4 linked regions of the Drosophila melanogaster genome follow. The protein of the gene in region 2 purifies or fractionates together with the protein of the main gene of each other region. This does not show direct contact. Each region holds a gene or a part of one and is shown on either strand. Other genes may lie near its edges.

Region 1 (4,378 bases), on a different chromosome or scaffold from region 2:
ATTGGCCACGCTTGGTGCTCGGATTATGGAAACCCATCGGAGAAGGAGCACTTTGACAACCTGTACAAGTTCTCGCCGCTGCATAATGTGCACACTCCGAAGGGCGCCGAAACGGAATACCCATCGACTTTGATCCTGACCGCCGACCACGACGATCGTGTCAGCCCTTTGCATTCGCTCAAGTTCATTGCGGCCCTCCAGGAAGCTGTTCGCGACTCGGAATTCCAGAAAAATCCCGTTCTGTTGCGCGTCTACCAGAAGGCGGGCCATGGCGCTGGCAAGCCGACATCGAAGAGAATCGAGGAAGCCACCGATATACTGACTTTCTTGTCCAAAAGCCTTAACGTCGACATAGTTAACGTTTGAGTGGTTAACCATAAACAAATTGCATTTCTCAAGGTCGAGTAAAAATCGAGTATACAAAATGTATTCAATATTTTCACAAATAAACCATACACCCTAAATGAAACTTTAGTGTTTTGCTAAACAATTACTAACCACGCTAGTGCTAACTAACAATAAAAAAAAAGGAAAATTTCAGCGATTGAATTTATTATTCAATTACTACCTTTATTTGATTTCTGGAAACGTACATGATCTTATGTAGCAAAATTACTTTTCCTCTGGTTTGCTGAAGACAAAGGTCAGGTTGCACTTGCCGCAGTAGTGACGATCTTCGTGGGCAGCCATGAAGACGCCGGCGCCGCAGTTCTCACCAGGGCACTCGCGACGGAGACGGTGGATCTTGCCGTTCTCGTCAACCTATGGAAAGGAAAGAGCATAGAAAGTGATTAAATACTGAGATCGTACACATGTTCATTCAATATAGGGCACTGGTAAAGTCACTCTGATATCCAAATCTTAAGCCAATGAGCACAAGACCAAGACTCAAGAATTCCAAGAACAGATCAGAATGTTTTCGGTATGGTGTCGGTAGATTGTTGTGTGTACCTTGTAGTATTTCAGGACAGCTAGCTTGACCTTCTTCCTCTTGTGCTTGATTTTCTTGGGAGTGGAGTAGTTCTTCTTCTTGCGCTTCTTGGCACCACCACGCAGGCGGAGCACCAAGTGCAAAGTGGACTCCTTCTGAATGTTATAGTCAGAGAGGGTGCGGCCATCTTCCAGCTGCTTGCCAGCGAAGATCAGACGCTGCTGATCTGGAGGAATTCCTTCTTTGTCCTGAATCTTGGCTTTGACATTTTCGATAGTATCCGACGGTTCGACCTCAAGAGTGATGGTCTTGCCCGTGAGGGTCTTAACGAAGATCTGCATCTTGTATTCCAGTCACCAAACTGCAAGAAACAAAAAGATGTTGGTATAGATATGTGTGTTTATATATATGGCATTGCTACAGCTAATAGTATAATAAGCTAAGAGAATCAAACGATTGTTCATGTTATTGTATATGTTTGTTTATTAAATCAAACTCTTAAATTAGGTAGCGACATTTTCGGGGTTAGACAAGCAGCACTGCATTGATAACACCATCGTTTTCTGGATTGTTCGTGACCTGAGCGTATTTGCCCCAGACAACTTTTCCCGTTTGCGTTACCAAACCCAGCTCAGAGATGTTGACTTCGATCACAGTACCCTTTGTAATTACACCCAAGGAAGTGAACATGGGCGAGCTGGGGTTCTTCTTGACGCCAATGATGGGCAGATTGAAGGTGGCTTTCAGTTCTGGATGCGTAACGTGAGCCTTCTTCATGCGCAGACCCATGGGTCGAATGAAACGCTCGAACTTTGGTGGCTTGCGTGTGAAGTTCTCACCGACGAATGTGACTTTTGTGACCATGCGCTTCCATGCCTTTCGCTTTGTCTTTCCGGTCTTTAGTACTTTGAAGACCTCAGCATCTGACTGAGCGCGTACTTTGGGAATGGGCACGTCCCACTTGCCTGCCTTCTCCTTGCGCTTCTGCTTGATCATATTGGACAGGACCTTGGCGCTGGACTGGATGCCTCTGTCGAGCAGATAATGCGGCAGGGCTCCATCCTCGACCTTCTCCTCCTGCTTTTTGACCTTCTTCTCTTCGTGGGCCTGGATCTTCTTCTTAATCTGAATCTTTTCATTGCGTCGCTCCTTATTAAAGAGTTTGGCCTTGATGCCGCGCAACTTGCGAGCCTTTCGTGCTCGGTCCTTGGGAAGACGCGCTTCCTTCTTGCGTTTCCGTTCCTCGTAATCCAATCGCCGGCCATACAGCTTGCGATGGCGTTCCATATACTCATTCTGCGGCATTGTTAATTGTTAATTCTGTAGACCAGATCTGAAATACATTCATGTGGTTATTAACATGTGGACGGTTGGGGGTGTGCGAAATTTGTTTCCTGGGGAAGCCTCTGTGGCCATCCACAGATAACTAATCACGCGGAAATTCACTTACCTTAATGTATAAATTTAAATGTCACAATATTTTTTTTGTTCACGGGTATCTTTTAGCAATTTTGATTGCTTGTCAATTTTACATGTGCACTGCAATCATTCTCATTGTTCAATCAACAATTGTCATGTATTTCACTCGTAAGAGTTTACAAGTGTTAAGGACTACTTTAAGTATGTATTTGTATGTTTATTTTCACTTAACCGATGCTTAAAATGTAACAACCCCAAAAACTTACCTTGCTTCGGCAACAGAATCAAAGGAAAGAAAGAACACACACACAGCGTGACAGGAAGTTGAAAAATTGAGCACAGGGCTGCATTCGGAGTTTACTTTTGTTTATATTTTGAACTACGCGTTTATTTTTGGAACGCGTGGAATGGAACATAAACTGGGATGAACCAGAAGCCATATCCAATACACTTTTCCTTATTACAAAAATTATAAAATAAAACAAATCAAAAAAATCATCATAAAGGAAACACAAAATAAAAATTTAAAAACCGCAAAATTTTCGTGGTCCAAAATGTGCATATACTTTTTCCAAGCACAAAAGTAGAAGCGATGCTCCAAATCCGCCTATTAAATAAAAACATGTATACAAATTTAAGTTCTAGGAAAATTTGTTAATACTCTTACAAATTAAAATAACAAATCCAGGTAGCACTCCTGACAAGCTTACAGGGTAAACGGTGTATAATGATTGACAGGCTGGCTTTTTAATTTGCCGCCGTCGAAGAATGCGCTCTACAAAACCTTTTTCCTGGGCATTACACATACTACAAAAGAAAATATAGAGTTTATTACAATTATATAACTATTATAAAATAATTATAAAACTATCTTACTTCCCAAGGAATGTTTGGGAAATATACTGATGTGGAATAAGACCGGGTTAAAAAAAAACAGTTCTTTTTGGCCAGTTAAGCAAAGACAGAATCAAACCAAAACCATGCGAATGACTCAATACTTACGCTGTTTTGAAAATCTCGGTATACTGGCTGTTCTTGTGTAAAATCCAATTCAAAATTTCGACCTCCATCAGACCGGAGACTTCACGCAGATCACAGATCTCGTTGGCATCAAAATATTCTGAAATCACCGGATAAGCGTCCACCACTTCGCAATGAAAAGCAAATCCGCCGGCTTTGAGATATGGGACAGCATCCTCAATATGGCTAAAAATTGGCAATTCATTTAAACTTCTTGACGAAGACAGCTTTTTCTCTATTAATCTTGTAATAGATCGATTTTGACTCTCCTGTTAAGTAAATCGAGTAATGGTAATATAAATATACATATAATGTTTTCAACGAACTTACTCGGAATAAGACTTTGTAGTAACCAATGTCTTCGAATGATATTTTCAAGGGGCTTGCAGTTATTTCGTCGACTGTAGAGGGACCCTGATCTGAAGAACTAAGCAATCCGCCCACGACGGAAGACGTATAATAGTTGTACATAACCAGGGAGAATAGGAACAGTGTCATTACCAAAAAGCGCACTGAACGATCTACAGGATTTGGGTCCAATCCCTGTTGGCAGCAGGCTCCAAATGTCTGTAAAATTCGTTCAATGCATGTGGTCTTAATGCAAATCACCGAACTTTTCTGATTTAAATGTTCCAGCTTTTGACTATTAACTCGTATACGCAATATCTTGTAGTCGATAATTTCAAATAGCACCCAAATGATGCTAAAAGCACCAAGGGTTAATAGACAGAACAACCAAACTCTGTCGCTGAATGGCGACAGAAAGTTACCACTTTTTCCATGAGTATCCAAATCGGAAGTGTAGCGGTATAGAAAAGCTGTCTCAAATTTCCAACTTTGGTGTATGGTATCAAACTCAGCAAAGCGATTAATTCGATTGAAGGCACCGGATGCGGCTATATCTGCCTCATTTCGCATAACTATTCCCAAGAGTCCAAGTCGAAAGGTAGTATTGCCCAAACGTCCAGCCCATCCTCTAGAATTTCGGAAGTTAACAGTGAAATTGAA
Region 2 (5,157 bases):
CGTTATTTGTGGTCCGGTGGGTATGCCCATGTTTATAAAGTTAATTCGACCCAGTCTAAAGTTCTGGAACGTGTCAAGGAAAGAAGTATTAACGAGTGCTTCTCTTTCCACTTACCTGCGTTCTACCAAATCTACCAATAATTCTTGTGTCTTTGAATCTACATTGAGTCAGGAAAGATTTATAATTGTAGCAACATTATAGAGGGGACCATAGCCATACATGAAACTATTAGAGATTTATTAATATTAAAGTGTAGAATTCTTTGCATTAATAATGCATATTACAATGTTCGAGTTTTATATTTGTCGTATTAATTGGCAAGCAGAAAAGTATCATAAGTCCAAATGTTCTACAGTTTTGTATATTTGTAAATTAATGATAATCTAAGTACTGTAAAACTGGAGAACATTTATTCCTGTAAAAATAAGCAATAAAAAATATTTATAAAAATTTTAATTAGTTTTTTCGTGAGTAAAGGGTATCTGATAGTCGAGGCACTCGACTATAGAATTGTTATGAATGTCATGCAATTAATGAAATTGTTTTATTTCTCCGACTCATCCTGAAAGGAATCACCAAAGAGACGCCACAGCTTATTAGGGCATAATTGCGGACATTATTTACAATAAAAAAACACGAAATTTATGTAATACAATGATTAATATATTTTAGTCATATGTCCAACATCCAGGACGACAAAAAGTACTTTATGTGTTAAGTGACTTAATTGTGGACTCCCACTAGTCAAAAAAATATTTTATAAATCAACCAAGATAAGGAAAGAATAAATCATAAGACTTCTTTAGCTTAATACGACCTTAAAATAATTAATGTGTGTATTGCATATACACTAGAAATACACACACTAGAAATATACTTTGCCATCCATTAGGTGAAGGCCTAATCCAAGGCCTCCCTACCATGGATTGGCACAGATAAATTTGTAGACATTTGCAGTCTTATGCTGAAGACAATGTCGTGGTGAAATATTTAGTAAAAATGACATCGTAACTCTATTTTACCCATGGCTGCAATTTTTAACAAATAACAAGTACAATACGCCGACGGTATTAAAAGAATATAAAAGAATTTTTATGATCGACATTTTACATTTAATTTAAGAACATCTAACTTTAAATGTAACGCTTCCGGTGTTATTTGCATAACTTCTTACATTTTGTCATCCTAATCATCGAAGCTAGACGATAGCAAAAAATTAGCTGCTTGTTCCTCGTTCTTTTCACAAGCGAAGTACGCTTGCAGTACAAGGGCCTCTGGGAATCCAAGAGCTTTTAGCTAGAAGAAGAATATATTAAGTAACTCGACAGTCCATATATAATTATTCACTCCTATATACCCGTTCTATTGCGTCCTTATCTTGGCGATTTAAACGAATGGTTGATACTCCTAAAGGTTGTTCCAAGTCTTCGTTATCCGCTGCGCTACCGCTTTGATGTGCTGCACTTGTACCCGCGGCTGATCTTTGTGCTGAAGTAGCTACTTCTAAATCTGGAGAAAAGAGGTCAACATTGTCCAAAGTTGAAGGAATCCGCGCATTCGAAACGGGAGGAACGGTGGCGCCTGACTCCGATTCGCGGTCAATCGGTTGATTAAGCATATTGAGAAACGCATCTTGGTTCTCCGAAATAAGTTGTAAAAGGGCTGGGTTTGTCTGACCAATCTATACGTAAAAAAAATTATCATTTACGTGTCATGTAATTATTATTATAAGTGTACTTACCTGCTGCAATACTGCATGCAAAAGATGAGGGTTTTGATAAATTAAAGATCGCATTTGAAGAAACTGTGGCTGGCTACGTAAAAATTCAAAGGGGTCTGAAACGTAAATATAAATAATTAAATAATAATTAAATTAACTAAAAACATATAGTGATGCCCTGTCCTTGAAGAGAATAGTGACAAAAATTCGTGAATTATCGCTCCTTTAGTGTCTGTTGACATATATATGTAAATGATACTGCGGGACAACGAGCTCACAAACATTTTAGTGAATCTTTAACAGCTGCATATATTTCCAGTACTAAGAGAACTCTTTTATTATTTATTAACGAATGTGCAACATAAGTTTTGATCAACAATATTTCTTGACCAGGAAAACTAACGCAATTATGTTAAGGCCGTATAATTTCATTAAAGAGCGAGAGCCAAATCGGGTTTATTAATTTCACTATGTTTTGAAGTGTGCAAATTTAGTACTTCTGGGTAGAAATTATATATTTTCGTTTCATACAAGAATACATAAATTGACTGCTGATTGAAATCCCATCAAGTTACCTGAATTTGATTCTGTTGAACGCTCGGCAGAGGTTGCCGACGCAGGTTGCGGTCCGGAGGGGATTAGACTAGGATTCGTTGATTCATTCAGCCTATTGTAAAAAGTACCTTCCTCTGCAGGTATGCCATTAATGAGATATTCAACGGCTCTTTCCGGGTTGTTATAACTAGCAGCCATCGCACGTTCAACCTGCTCTCTTGGGTAACCCATTTCCACCATTGATAGGACTGTTTGGTTGTATTCGTCACCCATAAGCAAATTAGATTCAGCGCGCGATTGTAAGGAAGCCTGGGCCAACTCGCCAATCAATTCGTCACTAGATAAAGGTCTGGTTTCACGTGATAAAACTGAATCTTCTGTATTTGTGGAACTAGGCGAATTGGTATGGTTGGCTTCTTCGCAAGGCATAGATTGCTTTGAATCGTCGGTGCTAGTCAATTTATTACTTTCTTTTACACTAAGTTGATTACGATTTGAACTAGACGAATCGCGTGTCAACATTACCACAATGAACTTTTTTTCATCAACGTTGTATGAACCAACGGTGCGGTCATCCGTCAATATGACGCCAGCGTAGATCAGTTTTTGTTTTTCGGCGACGTACTCTGGACCGCGCTCCTCGAATATTTTCTTCTTCAGTTCCAAAACCTTTTGTAATCAGAATCCCTGCTTATTATGGTACAACAAATTAATTGTAAGAAATACCTGTATAAGCACACATATGCATTTGCAATAATTGTATATACCATACATGTGAATATACTAGTATTTGACTATTTGTACACATACCGTTTTTTCCGGGGCAAACTCAATAGTAAAAGTTTGCTGTTGAAGATTTTTAATTGTAATAATCATCTTGTGTATCAGACAAAACCAAAACTTAATTAAATATACATATGCATACACATATGCAAACTCGAAAGTTAGTTCCCAATATCGCTTGATAAAAACGATTTGTCATCAGTGTGACCGCACATGGACTGGCAAATTATACCTTCTCGCTTAAAAGACACAAAATCGCAGCACAAACCAAAGAGTTCAATAGTCCTTATAACATTTTCACACATCAAGAAAGATGTAAAGATTTGTAATGAAATTTATAATGAAATATGAAATATTGAAGTCATAATGAACGTAACAAATAAACAATTGTCCGTGGTTTGACTGTAGTTAGTATTTCATTATATCAACGATTTAGATCATACTATATACAGGTTATACCTGTAGTATATAAGTCTATTTATAATATACCATCGGTTGATGATCAATAAATTTCAAAGAAATTTAATTTTTAATTCCGTTTAAGTAGTTCGGTATTTCTTTAAAAATACTTTAGTTTAACCAAAGACACTAGAATAACAAGATGCGTAACGGCCATACATTGGTTTGGCACTATGCAGCCACTTCTTTGGTGACTGCCAAAATTACTCTCTTTCCGCTCACTCCCGCTGAGAGCGTAAGAAATCTAAAAATATAATTTGATTGCTTGTGTGAGTAAAAACAAGAGACGAGAACGCGTATAAGTGTGCGTGTTGTGCTAGAAGACGATTTTCGGGCCGAAATCAATTCTGATCGAAGAAACGAATTTACATGGTACATATTAGGGTAGTTTTTGCCAATTTCCTAGCAATATGATAAAATAAAAAAATTTTTAAAAATTCGCGCCCTGACTATTATAATTTTAAAGCTTTTTAAATTTGTTTGTTAAAATCGCCGCTCGAATTAGCTACCGTTTACACATTTATATTTATGTTTAATTCTAATTTGTCTCTCATCTGACAATTTTTTAAAAGAGAAATTATTTTTTTAAAACACTTTTAATGTTAATGTTACATCATATTAAGTCAAATGATTTAATAAATATACTAAATAATTAAATATGATAACTGTTTATTGCAAAAGTAATATCAAAGTAATATACTAGAATAATTCTAATGCTTTGTTCATATCTTGAGGCACGAAGTGCGGACACAAGCACTCAACAATCATTGCCTTATTAATTTTTCACACGCCGCAAGATGAATACTCTAATGACAAATATTCTTATATAAAGTCATTTTTGAAATTTATTTTTGTGATAATATGTACATAGATTTGGCTATTTCTGATATATTTTCAAATAATAATAACGTTAAGGCAATGCAAAACAAGAATTTTTCGCATGGTGCCAATTGATCAAAAATAATATAGATTTAAAGTCTAAAAACTTCTGAGGTGAAGGGCATATTTTGTCAAATTTACAATGCATGAGCATACGTGTGCACACATACAGATGTCTCCTACCACTTTGTGCGTTGAAAAGAGCTGTTCGCTGTAGCGCTCTTCGCTCTCTCGCTCTCAAACAAAAATTCGAGAGAGCCTGGAGCCACCTCTAGAGCCACGGCCAAAAAATCGTGTGCCAAAAAATCGTATGGCGTTACGCATCTTGTTATTCTAGGGTCTTTGGGCAAACCAATGTATGGCCGTTACGCATCTTGTTATTCTAGTGTCTTTGGTAATACCGTATTCCTTTCAAAAGATATACATCAATGCTTATCTTCTGTCTTGTGAACATATATGATTTGAGTTCATATAAGATTAACGAAAATTTCGAAATTAAGATAACTATTGCTGTATCATCAGTGGGGTGTTTAAATGTAGTAAATATCGAGAATTTTAAAAGATACAATTTCAAAAATGACAAATGTGTTAATTCTAAATAATTGTATATACCATAAAAACAAAAAATAAAAATTTGCTGTTGAAGATTTTTAATTGTAATAATAATCTTGTGCATTAGACATTTGCAAAGAATAATACAAAAAATACACGAATGCATTGTTTTTCCACTTATCAATTAATAATAATAAATAAGTGTATT
Region 3 (4,079 bases), on a different chromosome or scaffold from region 2:
ACAGTACAGACACAGGACCTTCGAGTGCGCGGCTCCACCCAGGCCGGCGGCCTCTTCCCGCTCGCGCTCGCGCTCCCTCTCCCGTTCTCGTTCCCGTTCCTCCGTCATCTGATGCAGCTTCTCCACCAAACGGGGCAGCCGCTCCAGCGGCAGGCTGCAGATCAGCGAGAGCGGCTCTTGTTCCGCTTCCAGCTGATCCTCGTGCGGTTCCACCTCTTCCTGTTCCGCGTCCACATCCTCCTCCTGCCGGGTCTGTCGTTTTTTGCGCGGATTAGATGAGGCAGCGGCCGTGGCTGGTGCCGTTGCCGGTCCAATTGGATTCTTGCCGTTGACCTGCTCCTCCGAGAACTTGAAGCCACGGCGCAGGCCGAAGCGCGACATGGTCTTCATGTGGAGGCCACTGGGTCGTCCGTGGTTGCGTTGCACAAGTTAACTGCTTCGCCACTCCTGCAAGCAGTGCGGGGTGTGCGGACAACAATTTACTGCTGCACGCACACTGCTTCGTTCTTCCTTCTTCTTTTTGTTGACAAATAAACCGCAAGAAGAAGCAGCGAAAAACAAAAACTACTCACACACACGTACGCACACACACTCGCACGCACACCTGCTCAATTGGAAATTATACAATAAACATTTTCAACTCCTCGAATTGATCTCGCTCTGTTATCGGACACTATTGTTTTGGCCAACAGCTATATATAGCATAACTACCACTCCACTGCACAAGACCACACTGTCCACTTGGATATCCCGACTTGGTCTCTCCTGCGTATCTAAATACGTTTCGTTTTGTTTCGTTCTATTCGTTTTGTTCTGTGTTTCGGTTCGTTGTATTGCACTGTATTCCGGGATTTCACGGGATTGCTTTCCGTTTTGTTGTTTTGTTTCTTGTTTTTTTCTTGTATATTTTGTTCTTTTCGCTTGGATACGGACCAGACCAGGAGCGCCAACGGATCCGTATCAGTGCCTTGCACTTAAATTTAAGCACGGCATTGCAGCAGCTCGACCACCAGTGTAGCGCATTCAATTTTCCCTGGCCGTTCTTTCCACCCTAACAACTGCGTTAGGAGGTATCTAACGTTTAGCCCAAATCGATGCGTGCGTACGGCGCAGAGGGGGCGGCGGCGCGGCCAGAGGGGGCGGGGCACGGCAGCAGGACAACGACGACAACGACAACGATACTTTGTGGGAAACGTACTCGGAATCGGAATCGGAATCGTACTCGTACCCGTTCTCTTTCCCGTTCTGATGCTAGCGATATTGGGGAAACGATTTTTCGGCGACGGCGGCGGCATTATCAGCCATCGAATTGTGCTATATAAACAGCAAATTCGATTTCACTGTCCTACCAGCGCTCGTGTGTGTATATATTTGGTTCGTTCGCACACGCACACATAGCACACACAGAAGCAGCAGGAGCGACCGAAATGTTAAATGTGTGTGTTTTTCTACTCTTTTTTTTTCTTATGGGAAATCGAAATCGCGTCAAAATGGTCGGGTTTTGCCAGTGTGTACACACTTGTACCCGCTGGCGAGAAAGGTACTCGAACTATCGATAGTTGCGTCTCGAGCAGCGATACTTTGGCATGGTTCTACGTGAATTGCTTAGAATAACTTGCGATTTTATCAATTACTTATAAGCGATCTGCATTCGAAATAGTTTTTGTTAGTAATAAATCTGTTATCAGCTTTTGTTCCAATCAGAGCTGGTATATATCGGGCAATTATCAGACAGCTGATTTTTTCCCATCACCAGATGCTTTGAAACGTATTAAAAAATACTTTCCGGATATTAAGTGAGAAACATGACATGTGATATTAGATTTATTTGTATACAACATTTTAGCTTTACAGACTAACTGGTATAGGATATTGTCCAATAAAGAGGAGTTGCTTTCTTATCAGAAAGAGTATATATCGAAAAAAAAAACCGATTGAAAGAGCAGCACAATTTGATAGATAAATGGCCCCATCGATAGATCACAATCGATTGCGGACAGGGTTGCCACCACAACGCACTGCTGGCTTGTTTTTGACGAGTCATTTTGGTCGCCTCGCAGAAAACGCAAACTAATAAAACGAGACTCATTGCTGAACGAAAAGAATGCCGTACAACATGGACGTACTGATACCGGAAAAGGTGCGTAGTTGCCTCTCTGCGCCGCCTGGCATGCGTACTAATTACCTCTTTCCCAATTCCACTTTTTCCACCAGGACGAGCTCTCCGACTTGAAGCTAAAAGATGCGCACAGTTCCCTGGACGAACTGGACATGGAGGATCTCTACGTGCGTTACAAGGTGAGTCGTCCACTGGTCTTCCATTTGATCACCCATCTAAGCGGCCATTGTGTTGTAGAAACTGCAAAAGACACTGGAGTTCATTGAAGTGCAGGAGGAGTACATCAAGGACGAGCAGCGAAACCTGAAAAAGGAGTATCTGCACGCCCAGGAGGAGGTGAAGCGCATCCAGTCGGTGCCGCTGGTGATTGGCCAGTTCCTGGAGGCCGTCGATCAGAACACGGGCATTGTGGGCTCCACCACCGGCTCCAATTACTATGTGCGCATCCTGTCCACCATCGATCGCGAGCTGCTGAAGCCCTCCGCCTCGGTGGCCCTGCACAAGCACAGCAACGCGCTGGTGGACGTGCTGCCACCAGAGGCGGATAGCTCCATTTCGATGCTGCAGCCGGATGAGAAGCCCGACGTTAGCTATGCGGACATTGGTGGCATGGACATGCAGAAGCAGGAGATCCGCGAGGCAGTCGAACTGCCGCTGACCCACTTCGAGCTGTACAAGCAGATTGGCATCGATCCGCCGCGCGGCGTGCTTATGTACGGTCCGCCCGGTTGCGGCAAGACCATGTTGGCCAAGGCGGTGGCCCATCATACGACGGCGTCGTTCATACGCGTCGTCGGCTCGGAGTTCGTGCAGAAGTACCTCGGCGAGGGACCGCGCATGGTGCGCGACGTTTTCAGGCTGGCCAAGGAGAACGCGCCGGCCATCATCTTCATTGACGAGATCGATGCGATTGCCACGAAGCGTTTCGATGCGCAGACTGGCGCCGATCGCGAGGTGCAGCGCATTCTGCTCGAGCTGCTCAACCAGATGGACGGGTTCGATCAGACCACGAACGTTAAGGTGATCATGGCTACCAACAGGGCGGACACACTCGATCCGGCATTGCTGCGACCTGGTCGATTGGATCGTAAGATTGAGTTCCCGCTGCCCGATCGCCGGCAGAAGCGACTCGTCTTCTCCACCATCACCTCGAAGATGAACCTAAGCGAGGATGTCGATTTGGAGGAGTTTGTGGCGCGGCCGGACAAGATCTCCGGTGCCGATATCAACGCCATTTGCCAAGAGGCGGGCATGCACGCGGTGCGTGAGAATCGCTACATCGTTTTGGCCAAGGACTTCGAGAAGGGCTACAAGAACAATATCAAGAAGGACGAGCAGGAGCACGAGTTCTACAAATAGATTATATTAATTCATACACACTACTCCCGCCCCATTTTTTCCCCCAACACACTAAACTCTTCTTTGTACGCATAAAGTTATAAACATTAATAAAAAAATAAAAAAAAACAAAACAACTTGTAATCGAAGTGCCAAGCGATCCTTAATCCTAAACGAACCAACAGCCAACAGTGGGCAAAGCATTCCATTTACGCAACAACAAACTAGACAAAAGCCATATATTTGATTCGGTGAAAAGAGTGGATGCAAACAAGGAGCATTGGAAGGATAGCCGGATCGACGGCTGGCTTACTTCATCAGGGAATTGACCACGGCGTTCACATTGATGGCCTTTAGGTCGGCATACGTCTGACCCGTGCCCACGAACACAATTGGCTGGCCGGTTATGTAGGTCATGGAGATGGCGGCGCCCACCTTGTCATCGATGGTATCGAACTTGGTCAACACTATGCCGTCGATGATGTGCGGGTTCTCGTTGGATGAGTAGTCGGCCAGCGACTGATTGAACTTGACCAGCTGGTCGACGGCTTCGTTGCCCACCAGTGCCTCGCCCACGAATAGCACCAGATCCGGATTGTTCACTTTGATTAGCTTGGACAGG
Region 4 (4,398 bases), on a different chromosome or scaffold from region 2:
GTCATTAAATGGATCTTATTTGTGCACCTCTTGAATGACGCATGAATGAGCTGCCTTGCAGGGTGATCTATCTATTTAACTATTGACATTGACGAGAAGACTGCAGTTGCTATAATTTCGATCGCGGCTGCCTGCCCAAGAGCTTGGCACAAAAATCGAATATGAACATGCGAGAAACCAAGCCGAACCCAACTCTTTCGCAACTCGGGGCAACTGGATTGGCCTGTAATTGAATAATATTACTACTTGGCTGCAGCAGCAACAAAAAGTGAGCAACAAAATACAAAAAAAAAAAAAAAAAACAAGGAAGCGGCAATGCACTTGACAAAGCTGCTTCACTTGTTGCAGCAGTTTTATGGTTTATGTTTTTTCTACATCTTTTTCTTTTGCTTTTGTTTGGTTTTTGTGGCCACTGCATCGGCGGCGACTGTGTGGCATTTTTCACTTTTGCTTTTAATAGCCAGATGCTGTTGCTGTCTGTCGTCTGGGACGGAGATGAAGATGAAGTCGTCATCCGACGGCGTTTTTTTTTTCGGAATTTGTTTTGGATTTTTGAAATTGCCGCTCTTCACATAACCGTAATACGCCTTCAGCCGGTTTTCATATATACCATACATATCCATATATATATATATTATAGTTGTGCATCGTTTCTGTCGCTGCCAGATGTCGCCCATTTCGATTTTGGTAAATTGGTAAAGTGGGGAACAGGCCAAGGAAATCAACTGCTACATCGAGAAAGTAGTAGTACTTTCTTTCTACCAAAAACGCACAGTGGCGTCAGGAAATGAAAAGAAATGTTGACAGCGCAGCAGGATGTTACAGTAAACTCTGGCCGATTTGGTTCAAGTGTTTTTTTTACTGCGAAGGACGCACAAAATAGGCGACATCTGTGCAATATTACTCAAAAAGAAGGCATTTACATACTGTAAAATGCAGTACAATTCGGTTGATATATTTCGTTTATGTACAAATCCATACAAATGTTGAATCTTCCAATTCAATAGCTTTTTGAGTTCCAAATTCTCTATCAGCTCGAAAGTAATTTAATTATCGTTTCTTTACCCAACGCTCCTGTGCTCAAGTGGCTTTTGCTTTTCAAAGAGAAAGTTGTCCAACACCCATTGCAAGCCAAGAACTTTTAATAGACGGCGGCGACGTGGTGCCCACTGAGTGATAAGATTGGGGAGCCCCAATTGCATAACTGTCTACTAACCAAATAGTGGGATACAATGTACAACCAATTATGCAGTTCTCAATGGAACGCGATCGTATCCAATGGGAACCGCTGGCCCAATCAGTAGGGCCATGCTGCTTGGAATTTCGAAGCCAAAAGGGGGAACCTCGTCGGGCAGAGTAGTGACCCCCAAAAAGTCGAAAATAGAACCCAGAACTAACCTTGCTTTTCGACGAGGAATCGATCGTTTGCTTGGAGATCGGTGACAAATAGTTGACACGCGCCTTAATCCACAAAAGAAATGCTAATGAGGATCTCTTTTGGCGGAGTGCGGTTTCCAGTTGGAGCGGTCGTTGTGGTCGCTAACTAGTTCTTCTCAGTTTGTCAACTTTCTGCGAACAAATCCACATAGTTTCTTGCACGACGCGTTGTTTGGCTTACATTTATATAACCACTAATTGCGGCACTTTCGTTCGCGAAATTCGATTGCTACTTTATTTGGCTAACAAATAGTTAAATGTGCAAAACACACGACAGCTTTACTTTTTTTTAGTTAGTTCAGGGCGCACACTCGAGTTGTTGTATTTGGTTTTGTTGGCAGTGCTGCTGTGGCCCGGTTAAATATCGATATTCTCGCGGATCGGGCTAACTGGCTAATTGGCTGCGCGGCGACTCTCTGCCAAGTGGAATCCTGGAGTGCGGAAATATAAACTGTTTCGCTGCGAGCTCCAAAACGAATTGAAACGTTGTTTCTTCCGCGTACACAACTTCACGCAGAAACAGCTGTTCGGTTAGTGTGACCAGACGGTGAGTACAACGTAAGCCCAAGCCCCGCAGCTGTTGTTATCGAATGAGTCATCGAGTAGTTTCTAGGCACTGAAATAATATCATAAATAATGCTTTCCATGTGATATAAAAATAAAAAATACAGCCATTTGTTATTATGTAAGCCTTTTTTAGTTCATAAATAAATTTTACATAAAAATTCGCCCAAAAATACAAAATACCAAAATAAGCTAAAAAAAAACAAACGGCCACACAAGCGATCTGTCAATGTGACAGCTGCGTCGGCGATTGTGATTTGCAATTTTTGTAGTTTGGGAATACATTAAACATTACATTTGAAATTAATTCAACACAAAGCGCAGTTGCGATGTCCAATCCTCAGCCTAATGTCACCGCCTATCTGGCGACCCAGAAGAAGACCACCAACAAAGAACTCGCCGCCGAATGGACGCTCATCGAGGAGCTCTACAATGAAAAGTTAGATCTGGGCTTTAAATTTCAATTTTCCTCTTGTAATACAATTATTTTACAGACTCTGGAATGAGCTGACCATCAAACTGGTGACCTTTGTGCGCCACGAATCCTTGCAGGACGAAACTGCGCTGCTGCAGCTCTACCAGAATTTCCTGTCCACCTTCGAGACCAAGTGAGTCGGCTTCTGCAAATGACTCGGCAGAATCTAATGTATTGTATTTGCAGAATAAACCCCTATGGCCTCATCCAGATTCTCGAGGTGGTGGTTGACAACATCGGTGACAAGAAGGAGGCCATCGAGTTCTTGGAGAAGATGAAGGACAAGGTGAAGATCTGCGACGAGGCCGTTTGGTATCTGCAGGTGATGCAGGGTAATCTGTACCTCAGCAACCTGAACGATCTGAATGCCACCAAGAAGATCATCGAGGAACTGCGTGATGTCCTAGAGGAAGCGGGTAATGTGACGCCCGTTCACGGCAAATACTACATGCTGGCATCCCAGTATTATCGGCGAGTGGGCAAGCACAGCGATTACTACCGATGTGGCCTACAGTTTCTGGGCTGCTCCATGGATGAGTACCCCCGTGATCAATGGGCCCAGCAGGCATTCTTCTTGGGTCTGGCTGCTCTCTTGGGCGATGGTGTCTACAACATAGGCGAATTGCTGGCTCATCCCATTCTTGAGTCGCTTAAGGGCACGGAAAATGAGTGGCTCATGGAACTTCTTAAAGCCTTCAACACGGGCGATATTAACAAGTGTGTAGTAATAGCAATTTAATATCTGCAGTAACTAACACTTTCTATTATTCCTTTGCAGGTTTAATGACATGAAGAAAATCTGGTCCAAGATTCCCGATTTGGCTGCCCAGGAGGTCAAGTTGCGCCAGAAGATCTCCCTCCTTTGCCTCATGGAGATGACCTTCAAGCGCTCAGCCATCGAGCGAGCCATCTCCTTTACCGACATCGCGCAAGAGACCAAACTGCCCGCCAAGGAAGTGGAACTGCTTATCATGAAGGCTCTGGCTTTGGATCTCGTCCGCGGCGAGATTGACCAAGTGGCTGGAGTGGTTAACATGTCGTGGGTGCAACCACGCGTCCTCAACCGCAGCCAGATTGTCGGCATGGCCAGCACTCTGGACACATGGATGGGCGCCATCACGAACATGGAGAAACTGATGGAGAATCGTGCCGCCGAAATCCTCACCAATTAGTTTTAGTTTCGCCTGATCTAGACGATCCCACATATTCACATTTTGCGCGAATGCTTTTGTATTTAATTAAAAACCCAAATACTGTATTCATTTCTTTTCATATGTAATTTAACTCCCTGACAGTTGCGTGTAAAAAGTTTTTTTGTGCTTAATCCTAGCTTATTGGCTAAATCAGATCACTTATGGAGGAGTTGCTGCTTATGATTAGGCCTAGGATTATTTACAATTTAAAGAAATACGTCAAATTTGGCAATAGACTCTGGTTACCTAACAAGCTAAAATGTCGATCAATAATTTGGAATTTGCTGTAGCAAAAAACGCGACCTGCATAGCACTTGGCCGCCAGCACACCAGAAATCAAATGTTCAGGCAACGCAGCTTGGTGTCGGGCACACGGGAGGTGAACTCGAAGGATGGCGGGCGGCGGATGTCCTCGTGCGAGTCGCGGCGTATCCTATCTGGATTGCGGCCCATCACAGATGACAGAGGTATTTGGCGGCGGTACAGTTCCTCTAAAACCAATTGCTCCAGCTCGAACAGATGATCGTCCCTCACGCCGGGAATCTCCTCGTGCATGAACAGGGCCAGGCGCAACAGGTACTCGGCATTGTGTCCGCTGGGACCGCGGCAGGATACGATCTGCTGGGCAATCTCCTCGACCGGGTCATCGCCCAACCAATAGATATTCTCTGGCGTCGCCACATAGACCAGTACCTCGACCGCCTCGCCGCTGAAGGGCGTGTCCTGCGA

The links.
Region 1: the proteins of Rad23 (region 2) and RpS27A purify together in Drosophila melanogaster (affinity purification with western blotting, with the first as the bait; one study listed by BioGRID). This does not show direct contact.
Region 3: the proteins of Rad23 (region 2) and Rpt3 purify together in Drosophila melanogaster (affinity purification with western blotting, with the first as the bait; one study listed by BioGRID). This does not show direct contact.
Region 4: the proteins of Rad23 (region 2) and Rpn9 purify together in Drosophila melanogaster (affinity purification with western blotting, with the first as the bait; one study listed by BioGRID). This does not show direct contact.

Annotation. Positions count from the first base shown.
Region 1 is NT_033779.5:10,406,625-10,411,002, reverse strand, and holds RpS27A (ribosomal protein S27A), read right to left. Parts: upstream 2,652-4,378; 5' UTR 2,617-2,651; exon of another isoform or gene 2,382-2,616; intron 2,265-2,381; exon of another isoform or gene 2,237-2,264; coding exon of another isoform or gene 1,457-2,236; exon of another isoform or gene 1,393-1,456; intron 1,293-1,392; 5' UTR 1,273-1,292; coding exon 952-1,272; intron 763-951; coding exon 613-762; 3' UTR 547-612; downstream 1-546. Other genes in the region: CG5355 (uncharacterized protein), read left to right, coding at 1-366; Ip259 (intronic protein 259), read right to left, coding at 1,457-2,236; Ir31a (ionotropic receptor 31a), read right to left, coding at 2,875-2,957, 3,018-3,157, 3,353-3,639, 3,701-4,378.
Region 2 is NC_004353.4:306,219-311,375, reverse strand, and holds Rad23 (Rad23), read right to left. Parts: upstream 3,284-5,157; 5' UTR 3,153-3,283; coding exon 3,087-3,152; intron 2,964-3,086; exon of another isoform or gene 2,946-2,963; coding exon 2,297-2,945; intron 1,838-2,296; coding exon 1,743-1,837; intron 1,683-1,742; coding exon 1,359-1,682; intron 1,298-1,358; coding exon 1,187-1,297; 3' UTR 554-1,186; downstream 1-553.
Region 3 is NC_004354.4:11,123,209-11,127,287, forward strand, and holds Rpt3 (regulatory particle triple-A ATPase 3), read left to right. Parts: upstream 1-1,892; 5' UTR 1,893-2,104; coding exon 2,105-2,140; intron 2,141-2,214; coding exon 2,215-2,298; intron 2,299-2,356; coding exon 2,357-3,478; 3' UTR 3,479-3,577; downstream 3,578-4,079. Other genes in the region: CG11122 (uncharacterized protein), read right to left, coding at 1-390; SrpRalpha (signal recognition particle receptor alpha), read right to left, coding at 3,767-4,079.
Region 4 is NT_033777.3:23,730,838-23,735,235, reverse strand, and holds Rpn9 (regulatory particle non-ATPase 9), read left to right. Parts: upstream 1-1,773; 5' UTR 1,774-1,984; intron 1,985-2,224; exon of another isoform or gene 2,225-2,325; 5' UTR 2,326-2,330; coding exon 2,331-2,440; intron 2,441-2,495; coding exon 2,496-2,609; intron 2,610-2,662; coding exon 2,663-3,193; intron 3,194-3,254; coding exon 3,255-3,648; 3' UTR 3,649-3,861; downstream 3,862-4,398. Other genes in the region: CG10365 (uncharacterized protein), read right to left, coding at 4,006-4,398.